3 linked regions of the Saccharomyces cerevisiae S288C genome follow. The main gene of each other region encodes a partner of the protein of the gene in region 2 in a complex. Each region holds a gene or a part of one and is shown on either strand. Other genes may lie near its edges. A codon is read from its position in the direction of its gene.

Evidence for each region.
Region 1: the proteins of EPL1 (region 2) and YNG2 are in contact, whole or in part, in a crystal structure (PDB 5J9Q), measured with the Saccharomyces cerevisiae proteins. Residues at the interface, in NP_116629.1 of Saccharomyces cerevisiae: Thr144 (codon at 2,712), Thr145 (codon at 2,709), Ser146 (codon at 2,706), Tyr147 (codon at 2,703), Ile148 (codon at 2,700), Lys149 (codon at 2,697), Phe150 (codon at 2,694), Ser151 (codon at 2,691), Ala152 (codon at 2,688), Asp156 (codon at 2,676), Asp231 (codon at 2,451), Leu234 (codon at 2,442), Gln237 (codon at 2,433), Leu238 (codon at 2,430), Ile242 (codon at 2,418), Phe249 (codon at 2,397), Ile250 (codon at 2,394), Thr251 (codon at 2,391), Gln252 (codon at 2,388), Phe253 (codon at 2,385), Arg318 (codon at 2,190), Arg321 (codon at 2,181), Ile326 (codon at 2,166), Asp327 (codon at 2,163), Ile328 (codon at 2,160), Asn330 (codon at 2,154), Ser331 (codon at 2,151), Arg333 (codon at 2,145), Leu334 (codon at 2,142), Arg335 (codon at 2,139); in NP_011958.1 of Saccharomyces cerevisiae: Asp2 (codon at 1,500), Pro3 (codon at 1,497), Ser4 (codon at 1,494), Leu5 (codon at 1,491), Val6 (codon at 1,488), Leu7 (codon at 1,485), Glu8 (codon at 1,482), Thr10 (codon at 1,476), Ile11 (codon at 1,473), Val14 (codon at 1,464), Asn16 (codon at 1,458), Ser19 (codon at 1,449), Glu20 (codon at 1,446), Phe21 (codon at 1,443), Tyr23 (codon at 1,437), Leu24 (codon at 1,434), Leu25 (codon at 1,431), Glu26 (codon at 1,428), Glu27 (codon at 1,425), Ile28 (codon at 1,422), Lys39 (codon at 1,389), Tyr42 (codon at 1,380), Glu46 (codon at 1,368), His50 (codon at 1,356), Ile53 (codon at 1,347), Arg54 (codon at 1,344), Gly57 (codon at 1,335), Ser58 (codon at 1,332), Ile59 (codon at 1,329), Pro60 (codon at 1,326).
Region 3: the proteins of EPL1 (region 2) and EAF6 are in contact, whole or in part, in a crystal structure (PDB 5J9U), measured with the Saccharomyces cerevisiae proteins. Residues at the interface, in NP_116629.1 of Saccharomyces cerevisiae: Arg333 (codon at 2,145), Ala336 (codon at 2,136), Leu337 (codon at 2,133), Glu340 (codon at 2,124), Leu341 (codon at 2,121), Asn343 (codon at 2,115), Ala344 (codon at 2,112), Asp346 (codon at 2,106), Leu347 (codon at 2,103), Ala348 (codon at 2,100), Leu350 (codon at 2,094), Val351 (codon at 2,091), Lys353 (codon at 2,085), Arg354 (codon at 2,082), Val357 (codon at 2,073), Ser358 (codon at 2,070), Asn360 (codon at 2,064), Trp361 (codon at 2,061), Asp364 (codon at 2,052), Glu365 (codon at 2,049), Lys367 (codon at 2,043), Ile368 (codon at 2,040), Gln371 (codon at 2,031), Arg372 (codon at 2,028), Lys374 (codon at 2,022), Ile375 (codon at 2,019), Leu378 (codon at 2,010), Lys379 (codon at 2,007), Ser381 (codon at 2,001), Leu382 (codon at 1,998); in NP_012615.3 of Saccharomyces cerevisiae: Glu4 (codon at 979), Leu5 (codon at 976), Ser7 (codon at 970), Tyr8 (codon at 967), Leu11 (codon at 958), Lys12 (codon at 955), Glu14 (codon at 949), Leu15 (codon at 946), Lys16 (codon at 943), Ser18 (codon at 937), Leu19 (codon at 934), Asp21 (codon at 928), Arg22 (codon at 925), Arg23 (codon at 922), Gln25 (codon at 916), Glu26 (codon at 913), Thr28 (codon at 907), Phe29 (codon at 904), Asp30 (codon at 901), Leu32 (codon at 895), Gln33 (codon at 892), Glu35 (codon at 886), Ile36 (codon at 883), Lys39 (codon at 874), Glu40 (codon at 871), Tyr43 (codon at 862), Phe44 (codon at 859), Tyr65 (codon at 796), Gly67 (codon at 790), Asn68 (codon at 787).

Annotation. Positions count from the first base shown.
Region 1 is NC_001140.6:283,123-286,146, forward strand, and holds YNG2 (histone acetyltransferase YNG2), read right to left. Parts: upstream 1,504-3,024; coding exon 655-1,503; downstream 1-654. Other genes in the region: H/ACA snoRNP pseudouridylase subunit GAR1, read right to left, coding at 1-176; arginine--tRNA ligase MSR1, read right to left, coding at 1,717-3,024. UniProt on the Saccharomyces cerevisiae protein: Component of the NuA4 histone acetyltransferase complex which is involved in transcriptional activation of selected genes principally by acetylation of nucleosomal histone H4 and H2A. The NuA4 complex is also involved in DNA repair.
Region 2 is NC_001138.5:87,205-91,968, forward strand, and holds EPL1 (Epl1p), read right to left. Parts: upstream 3,142-4,764; coding exon 643-3,141; downstream 1-642. Other genes in the region: BST1 (Bst1p), read right to left, coding at 1-30; BUD27 (prefoldin-like protein), read left to right, coding at 3,782-4,764.
Region 3 is NC_001142.9:581,268-583,861, forward strand, and holds EAF6 (Eaf6p), read right to left. Parts: upstream 989-2,594; coding exon 647-988; downstream 1-646. Other genes in the region: AIM24 (Aim24p), read right to left, coding at 1-349; ACF4 (Acf4p), read right to left, coding at 1,341-2,270; YJR084W (uncharacterized protein), read left to right, coding at 2,466-2,594. UniProt on the Saccharomyces cerevisiae protein: Component of the NuA4 histone acetyltransferase complex which is involved in transcriptional activation of selected genes principally by acetylation of nucleosomal histone H4 and H2A. The NuA4 complex is also involved in DNA repair.

The sequences.
Region 1 (3,024 bases), on a different chromosome or scaffold from region 2:
TTAGTGTTGATAGAACGGCAAACAATATCACCCTCACATGGATGTAGAAAAGCTCCCATTTCTAGAACAGTGTCTGGTGGTCCTTGTTGAAATGATCTAGCACTGCCTGTACGTCCACCACGAAAGCCGCCACGGAAGCCGCCACGGCCACCTCTATTACCTCCTCTGAAACTCATTATTTTCTTTTGGTTAAAAATTATCCTCAGGTGATCTTTTGGTAGAAGAGAGCAATCAGATACTCTATCGAAAAGGTGCTCACGTTATAAGGCTAACAAATTAATTTTTTCTTCCTTTCCTCATCTCGAAAAATTTTTCACTACAAAAAATTCCGACGTCAAAGTTTGAAAAAAAGACCATCTGATCACGTGACACCTTTTTCCTGCTCATAAGTTTTAAAAACCGTATGACACATATGCTAATGAAATTAAAATATATAGTATATACCTGAATATGCAGGAATCATATCTTAGTTTGATTCACAAGTATTTGAAAGTACATTCAAAAATGTCAATCGTATATGTCCTTGCTAGCTGATGTCTCGAAATTACTTCTCCTTTTCGAAAAGCACATTGTCAGAATAGCAATCACCGTTTCTGGCTTATGGAATATTATTAGTGTAAATGAGGTCATTCAGTCTCAAAAAGGTATTTTTGTTCAGTTACGTTTTCTTTTCAGTTTGTTTTTTTCCATCTCAATTTTACATTCGGGACAGTACCATGTTCCTTTCGGAGGTTCTTTTAAATTTACACAATCATAATGAAACCATTCATATTTACAGTTGGGTCCATCACATGCAACCATTTCTCCAAACGAAACTCTTTGACAGAAGCAGTATAAAGTTTTGTCCTCTTCCTCGTTTTCAGGGGAACCGTTTTGGCCTTTACCATTTCTACTGTTTTTGAATTCTTTTGTTCTTGCAATCTTCTTTTCAATGCTTGGGCTCACTGGAGTAACAGACTTTTCTCTTGAAGAAACGTCAATTTCATTTTGCAGTTTAGATGTTCGACTAGTTTTTTTCTTTTTCAAAGTGGGTGGAACGGATCCTGAGCTTGATGCAGCTCTTCTCTTTTTCACGCTACTGTTACTCACAACTGAACTTTCTCTAGAGGCTTCAGCAGCGCTATCCATGTCTCCATCTTCTTCCACGGGGGCTAGAACACCATCTTCCTCCAATAAAGCGATGTTTTTTTCCAACTTATTCAAGTGTCTAGCAATTAGAAACAAGGCAGTGTTCGCCAGAACGCATTTTTCTCTTTGCAAAGACTGACATTTCAAAAGTGATTCTTTTATTTCTTTGTCAAGCCCATCTTCCTGTGGATGTTTCGGTATTGAGCCTTGCTGTCTTATAAATTTGTGTATTTGTGATTCTTTTTGCTCGTATTTCTTTTTTTCTTCGATGAGCTTCAAATCATTTGAACCGATCTCCTCTAAGAGGTAACGAAATTCTGATGGGAGGTTGGACACATCTTGTATCGTTTGCTCTAAAACTAAACTTGGATCCATCTTCTATTGGTTATGTTGTCCAATATAAACTTGCATATCCTTCTTCTTTGTTTCTATTTCAACTAACGGTAGGTGGGTTATTCAAGAATCAATTAAAGGAAAATCGGAAAATATCACGTTGTACGTAACAATAAACTTTCTTCTATTTACATGTTTATAAATTGGTTAAACTTAATCTAAATTAATCTAGCATTTGCTAGCTTATTCATATAATTACATTCTATCAACCGGGACTAGTCCCAAAAGCGACATTGCATTGTGTAACACTTGTCTACTTGCTGAATATACGGCGAGTCGCGGTATGGCAATATCTGCAGGTTTTCCGGAAACCCATATTTTTTTATAGCACGAGGAGACCTGATGGCAAACTTTGAATAAATATGTTACAATCGTGGCCGGCTCTTGAGTTTCGAATGCTCGTCTAAGGACATCTGGATACTGCGCTAGCAACCTCACAAGCTCAACTAGTTGTGGTTCATTTAAATTTGAAAAATCTGCGTGTATTAGCATGTCCGTCGTAAAGTCGCTGGAGGTCCTTTCTAAAGATCTAAGTCTGGAATGTGTGTATTGTAAATAGGGCCCTGTGTCACCTTCGAAAGACAACATTCTGTTCCAGTTGAATTCATAGTTATTGATACGCTTTGATTTCATATCTTGAATAATGATAGCAGATACGCCAATTAAATCTGCAACACGCTGTGGATTATCTACCTGAGATATTTTCATTTTGTTATTTTCCATAATTTGCAGAGCTTTATCCCTTGCCTCGTCTAGTATGGTATCTAAGAATACCACATTTCCTTTTCTGGTCGACATGCCCTGCACCATACCAAAATTTATATGCTGCAAGTCTTTTGCCCATTCAAAATTCATTTTTTTTAATATCATAAAAAACTGGGACATGTATAAATCTTGCTGTGAGGAAATCACGTACACCATTTTATCAAAATGTAGATTCTTTTTACGCTCTATGGCTGCCCCTACATCTCTTGTCAAGTACAAAGTTGTTCCGTCTGATTTTTGTACAACAACTCTGCCCAATCTTTTCGACCATTGGGTTAAATCGATGACAAGGGCACCGTCTATTTCTTTAACAAGATTGTTTTTGCGAAATATATCTAAGGCTTCATTCATAGATTCTTTAGACACTTGTGATTCACCGGAGAATATATCAAAATTAATGTTCAAACGTGAATAAGTTTGGATATAGTGGTGGATGGATAACGAGCGAAACCTATTCCATATCTTAATGGCATTCTCATCCCCATTTTCTAAGTTTTTGAAAAAACTACGGGCCTCACCGCTAATCCCACACTTAGAGTTTCCGTTTATCTCTTCCTTGGCAAGGTCCATGTTGATTTTAACGTAGACGTCGAATAAATGCTGAATTGGCTGCTTTTGTAACGTCTTTTCATCGCCGTATCTCTTAAAACCGACTGCTAACAAACCAAACTGTCTGCCCCAGTCTCCTAGGTAGTTCATACGTGTAACGGACCACCCCATTGCTTCATATAAGTTTGA
Region 2 (4,764 bases):
TATAACACTAACTAATCTCCTGATACCCATAACGAAATGAAGATTTTTGTATGATGGTAAGCCTAAGATATAGGCCAATGCTTTAAAGTAGAGGGAGTATTTCGAGTGTGAATTTACTATCAGATGGAACTGCAAGGAATGTGTTGAGACTCATTTTTACTTTTTCTTGTTATGACTTGGTTGGTATATTTAGACCTTTTTCAAAATTCGCGCCATACAGGAAAAAAAAATGGATAATAAGAAGAAATGCATTTATTTGAGGGTACCTAGTGAGTTATGCAATTGTCTATATAAGAGTATGAATCTAACTTAAATACATCAAGCATTTGGGATGAAATCATGCGAAAAATCAAAAGGTCACAACCGTGTGAAATGGAAATTAAAAAAAACGTTAAAAATATGTAGTCTTGTGAAGGTGATAATATTACAGCCGGATGATACTTGCTATTTTTCTTTTGAAATTTATTGTAGTTATCTTTTTTTGTTTTTTGTTTTTTTTCATTATTATTGCGTTATCGGTGTTCATTTCGGTGATTTGAATCTTCAGTAATGTTGCCTCGACTTTCGTAGTAAACTTTGAATGTCAGGTTTGTTAAATGCCAATGCGTAGAAAGATGTTCGAGAGGTACAAAGTTGTGCTGCTCATGATGAATTTTTCTGGGTTATAGAAGAGTTCTGTTTCGCTTCTGAATTGATTAACGAATCATTTAATTTTTTTAGGGAGTTCGAAGAATTTGAATTATTGTTCTGTGATTTCTGCTTTTGTTGTTGTGCTTGCTGCTGTTGCTGCTGCTGCTGTTGTTGTTGCTGTTGTAAATGTTGTATATGCTTTTGTTTCAGTCTGGTGATATAGTCCCTACGATACTTTATGGTGGCTTCCCTTAATTGTTCGTAGGACTTCGTACCCAACATTGTTCCGAATCTAATCACCTGAGTATCATTTGAAATCTGGTTAAGTCTTGCCGGTTCATCTGAAAACTTGATCCCATATTCATTTTGTGGAGAATCATACTTCCACTTGTCGTAAAGTCTGACAAATTCGTCGTATTTGGAATCGTAAACATTAATCGAGTCAGTATCGTTACTACCTTCTCTTGAATATTGTTCTTTTTCGATTGAATCGAAATCTACAAAATCCATTAAAGAACATGCAGACTTGGTCGACGATGTTGTAAAATTTGGCATACGATCAACATACTTAATATTAGATCTACCAACTCTCTTCCTGAATTTTATTGGATACTCTCTCGAATGAATTTCCAAATTTTCTTGGAATGGGTCGTACAGTTCAGTTTTTTTGATTCTTTTGGTATCCAAGTTGTAATTATCTTTGTTTCTCGAACGGCCATTTGAATCATATATTCTGATGTCATCAGATATCCCCTTCAAGTATTCTGGTAAATGTGAAGAATAAAAAGATCTATCTATCTGAAACTTGGATGACGCGATAGATGCAAAGGGAACATTACTAGTCGAAAAATTTTTAGGCAACGACATGTCAAATACAGGATTAAAGGGATCGTCCGTTAAGTTGAAAAAGACATCTGCGTCTTCAATTTTCCGTTTCTCCATCTTTTCCTGAACGAACTTTCTTGCATTTTTTTCTTTGCTGTTCAATAGAGCATCCACGTCTTCCAATACAATGTCAGGAATTTTGGAAGATGGTAGTTTGACATAAACATGAGACGTAATTGGCTGTGATGTTGAAGAAGAGGATGCATTCGCGAGTTGCTTTCCGTTTTCAGTCTTAAGGGCATTTTGCTGTTGTTGTTGTTGTTGCTGTAACAGTTGCTGCTGTTGCTGCTTGGTGAGCCTAGAAGATTTGTCTTCAAGTTGGTTATTCCTTTTATTGTTCTTTGCCTTCGCTGCCGCTGCTGCAGCAGCTGCTCTCTTAAGTTCAGCTTTCCTTAGTTCAGCTTCCCTTTGTTCGACCGTAACAATCGTGGGGCGTTTTCTCTTGTGGTTAATCAAGTCATCGTCTTCTCCACTAATGTTCAAAGATCTTTTCAAATTCTTAATTTTTACCCTTTGATCGAATATTTTTAATTCATCATTAATCCAATTTAGGGAAACGTTCTCACGTTTAGCAACAAGCAGGGCCAAGTCCTTCGCGTTTTTCAATTCTTGATGCAACGCCCTTAAACGCTGACTGTTTAAGATATCTATACGTCTTGTTTTCCGCGGATGTCTCACTTCTCTTCTTCTGAAACAGACGTAGGGATCAATCTCTTCTTTTTCACCCGGCCTTTCAAATTTCAGCTGCGGAAAAATTTCGTACCCGTTAACTTCAATTTTTCTTTCTCTCCAATAATCATAAATTTTAGAGCCGAACTTCTCTATCAGCTGAATTAAAGGTCTCGTATTCATTTGAGATACGGGGTCGAATTGTGTGATAAAATGTGTTTTATGAGAATTTATTTCATGATTCAGCTGGTTTCTTAGATTGAAATCAGCCATATCTGATTTTATTAATGTGGGCTTCAATTCTTCAAAAGAAAGTATACTTTCCGGATCCATACTCAAGAATGGTTGACGCTCGTGAATAGCATGTTCAAAACTGGAACAAAGTATTTCAAATTCGTCTTCAGTTAAAATGTCTGATGAACCTTTGTTGACTTGTTCATTTAAAAAGGTCTCATCTCTTTCATCCATATTGTAGTTGGTACCACAGCAATCCTCCACAGTGGCAGAAAATTTGATGTAGCTGGTGGTCTCCTGGAAACTGCCCGTATAAAACTTATCATATTCATTCCAAGTCATAGAAGCATCCGGGGTCGGAATATAGTCTTTGTGCTTTGTATGACCAGAACCCATTTGTAATATTCGATGCAAATGGACCTCCTTTTCTTCATTTTTTTCTACACCAGTTTCGATCTCAACCACCTCTCTCTGTTGCAATTCATCTTTATCCAGGTGTTTCAGATCGTTAGGCAGATATATCTTAAGATGTTGCTTCACAGATATTTTTCGATGTCTAAATCGACTATTACTGCTACCAGCACTGGCTCCAGCACCTGAATCGCCTTTTGAGAATGAATCTAGACCGTCATCGTGCGCACTCCTAGATCCAGACCGCCTAGTGCTTCTACCAGATTTATGCGAACCGTCATTGATCTCTATAGCGTTTGAAGGTGTCGGCATCGTTATTATCGTTATTTGCTAATGTTATTACAATGTTTTTATAAGCACGTGACTATAATGTTACCCTATCGTGTGCAATTTTTATTTATGTTGACCTGAAGTCCGCAGTTGCCGTACAATGTGAGAATATGGACAAAAGGAAGGCGAGGGTGGCAAAAAGAGGAGTCAAAAATAGATAGCGTTTATTTTATTATAGCAGCTCAGAGGAACGCGATGTGGTGTAATAATATTGCGAGTGTCTAATGACCACCAGAATACGAGCACAGTTTTGGCTGATTTTTGCAAACTTTTTTGCTTTTGTGTAGTAACCTCTCACAGGTATTGCTTGTATGCTATACCATGTGATATGTAATAGTACAATTTTGTGGTCGGATCGTGCTTTTGCCACCCGCGGCCGACGGAGAAAATTTTTTTCCTCTATCCCTTTGTTTCTCGCTTACTCCTGCGGTATGGGGTGCTAACTATGGTGAGCGAGTATGGGAAGAAGTAGCGATATACGGGTAACCCTAATGTTTGGGTGTTTTGAAATTTATCCTTGGAGGATAGGCGATGAGCTGCTCTTAAAGGTTTTAACAGAGAGTGTTGTATGAATATTCTGTAGAATTTTATAGTAAACAGGTATCCTCAGACTGTAATAGCCATGGATTTGTTAGCGGCCAGCGTAGAAAGTACGTTGAAAAATCTGCAAGATAAGAGAAACTTTCTTTCGGAACAAAGAGAGCACTATATAGATATCAGAAGCCGACTGGTTAGATTTATCAATGACAATGATGATGGCGAAGAAGAAGGCGAAGGCCAAGGGATGGTGTTTGGTGATATCATAATTTCTACGAGTAAGATATATCTAAGTCTAGGCTATGAGTATTACGTTGAAAAGACCAAAGAGGAGGCCATCACGTTTGTTGATGATAAATTAAAACTAATGGAGGACGCCATTGAGCAATTTAACCTGAAGATCGAAGAGGCTAAAAAGACCTTAGACAACTTGAATCACATGGAGGACGGAAATGGAATTGAAGAAGACGAAGCGAACAACGACGAAGATTTTCTGCCCTCTATGGAGATTAGAGAAGAACTAGATGACGAGGGAAATGTCATAAGTAGTTCCGTTACCCCTACAACAAAGCAACCATCACAATCGAATTCCAAAAAAGAACAGACACCTGCAGTCGGTCCAAAGGAGAAAGGATTAGCAAAGGAGAAGAAATCAAAGTCATTCGAAGAAAACTTGAAAGGAAAGTTATTGAAAAGGAACGATGAAGTAAAGAAAAAAGTGCAGCCATCTAAAGTAGATACAGAAAACGTGTATACATTTGCCGACTTGGTCCAACAGATGGACCAACAAGATGAATTGGAGGACGGCTATATTGAAACTGATGAAATAAATTATGATTATGATGCGTTCGAAAACTCCAATTTCAAAGTCAATGATAACTATGAAGAGGATGACGAGGACGAAGATGAAGAAGAGTATCTAAATCATTCTATTATACCTGGCTTTGAAGCGCAGTCCTCATTTTTACAACAAATTCAACGCCTACGCGCACAAAAGCAATCCCAAGATCATGAGAGGGAAGAAGGTGACGTTAATAAATCATTAAAACCTATTTTGAAAAAGTCTTC
Region 3 (2,594 bases), on a different chromosome or scaffold from region 2:
CGGAGGATCCAATAATTCTATGAAACAATGAAGATTTGAATGAACGAAATTTAATCAGGTTTGACCAAAAATTCAGCCATTTATAGGAAAGGGATAAATGGTTCAAATTGTGAATGGAAACTAGGCAATCCTTTTTGATACAAATTGGAATATCTGGTTGAACAGTGATAGATGCAATTTTACCATTTTCGTCTACTAGCCTGAAACGGGAAGTCGCAATATCCTTGCTTAAGTTCTCGATATATGTCCTTTCTTTAGTTACGACATTACTCTCCGTCTTGGCCGCTTGTGGGCTCAAAAGAGAAATTGATCTCTGCCAAACTCGAGTATTCACCCTTGGGCTTATCATGATGGGTGGATATCCTTTTCTGTGCTTCTGTTTTGTTTATCTGTATCCGTTTATTCGCCAGCCAATAAAATGACTGGGAGCACGGGACCTTTGAAATTTTGCCCTTGTTAGTAAATCGTTATAAAAATACTTATATAGATATTTTATAGAAAATGAAAAATAAAAGAAATAGCCAATATGTAGGTATATCGAACTTAAAGGTCACCTGTCGAAATCATTTCCTTCTTCTCTCTTTTTCTTTTCAATCAGATGTTTTAGAGCGGTCAAGCAACGTAAATACCAACGTGTGCTATCGCATTAGTCGTTTTGTGATTGGCCATGCTGCTGCTTCACGTACGTAGCACTACTTAATGAAAAAATACGATCATTGTTATTGAATGCAGAATCTGCATGGCTGTGGTGTGACTTGGAGAAGGTATCAAACCCTTTTATGATGTTACCAGAATAGTGTGATTTTGACCCATGGGCTCCCCCATGACCTGAATGGTTGTTATTACTATTGTGTGAGAAATACTCGGTCTCTTTATCATATATCTCTTGTTGTAAGTTGTCAAAGGTATCTTCTTGCTCTCTTCTATCTTGGAGGGACTTTTTTAGTTCCGCTTTCAATGCTTCATAACTTTTCAGCTCATCAGTCATTTTCTTCTAGGCGTAGGTTGGTAACAAACGGAAAGATGATGGAAAATGGCTGTTCTCTAAAGATGTTTATCTTACGTATATTCTTTGCTTTCGTTGTGGCTTTACACACCTTTAATCATTAATTTAATGGCATAGTCGGCAAGTTGTTGAAGGACCTGGGTTAATCGCCTACATGTGAGGTTTTTTTAAAAATATCAATTACATTTAAAAAAGGAAAGCAGTAGTACCAAAAATCGGGCAAAAAAAATTTACCTAAATAAAGGAATGCATAAATGAAGCCGTTTAATCTTTGTATTTAATGAGAATATTACATATGAAGGTCTCTTGAGAAAGCATCAATAGTGGACATTAGCTACCTTTTAAATAAATGAACGGGTATGTCACCCATGGGTTCAAACTCTTCATCATCCTCGTCTTCACTGCGTACTTCATCGTATTCGTAACCCAAATTTTCTTTTATGTAATAGTGATCTTTCTTACTTTTCCTCTTTTCCAAAAGGTCATCGAATTCGTCCTCTTCCATATTCATTTGATTGAATTTGTTAAGTATTCTTTGTAAGAATGGTGTGTTCTCCCCAGCAGTTGCCGTGGTATTAGCATTCTTCATAGTATTCCTTGGGGGTAGCAAGGGAGGACCCGATGTTGGAGTTGATTCTGAACTACGGCTTGGAGCAATATTTTGCATACGTTGTGACCGATTAGGCGGAGGGTTCGGTTTACGATTGGGTAGAGTGTTATTTATGTTGCTATTAACATTATTATTGGGCTTACTAAAAAAATCGTTTATACTCTTTTTTCCCTTGAGCATATTTGGTGAATTATTTACGTCCACAAATGTCTGTTGAATTCTTTTGGTAAAAGTAGAGAGGTATTCACTTGGGTTCTGGTTACCTAATTTCTGTTGTCCATTTCGGGGCAGTGTATCTTTGAACTGTAACTCTAATTGTTTTAATTCTTTTTGGGCGACCTCTAATTTGAAACTAAGTTCATTGATTTCTCTGTGTTTTGCAGCTAATTTATATATTAAATCTTGGTCTGTTGAAATCGGACTTGCGTGGTCGCTCACGGGTGACTGATTTGTCGTAGATCTTTGCGGACTTGATATAGGTATAGCAAGTCTTTTGGGCTTTAAAGGTGTCGTAACCCTTGGTGATTTTGATTCAGGCTGCACTTCATGTTGTTTTTGATGCGGCTGTTGCTGCTGTCCTTGGGAGTGTTTATCGACAATCGACAGCTTATGTAATTCAATTGGTTGACTAATTACACGCTGGTCTTCTGACATTACTTTAGGGCGTATGTATGGATGTATTTTGTATTGCTTTTGGCTAGTTAGTAGTATTCCTCAATCGTATTGTTTTTGATTTTGAAAAAGCTAACGATAAAGGTCAGGAAAAAAAAAGAAAATTGTATGTAAAGGAATGTCTGGAGAGAGTTACACAGGAACAGAAAGGTCCAGCAACGGTTTCTACAACCAATCATGGATGTTGATATAGGATGTTATTTTGAAGAGAAACGCTATGACGACAAACTGTTAGACTTCATCAGATATGACGTTAAAACACCTAAAAAGACTAAATATATACTACAAAGGCCTACGGCGACAGAT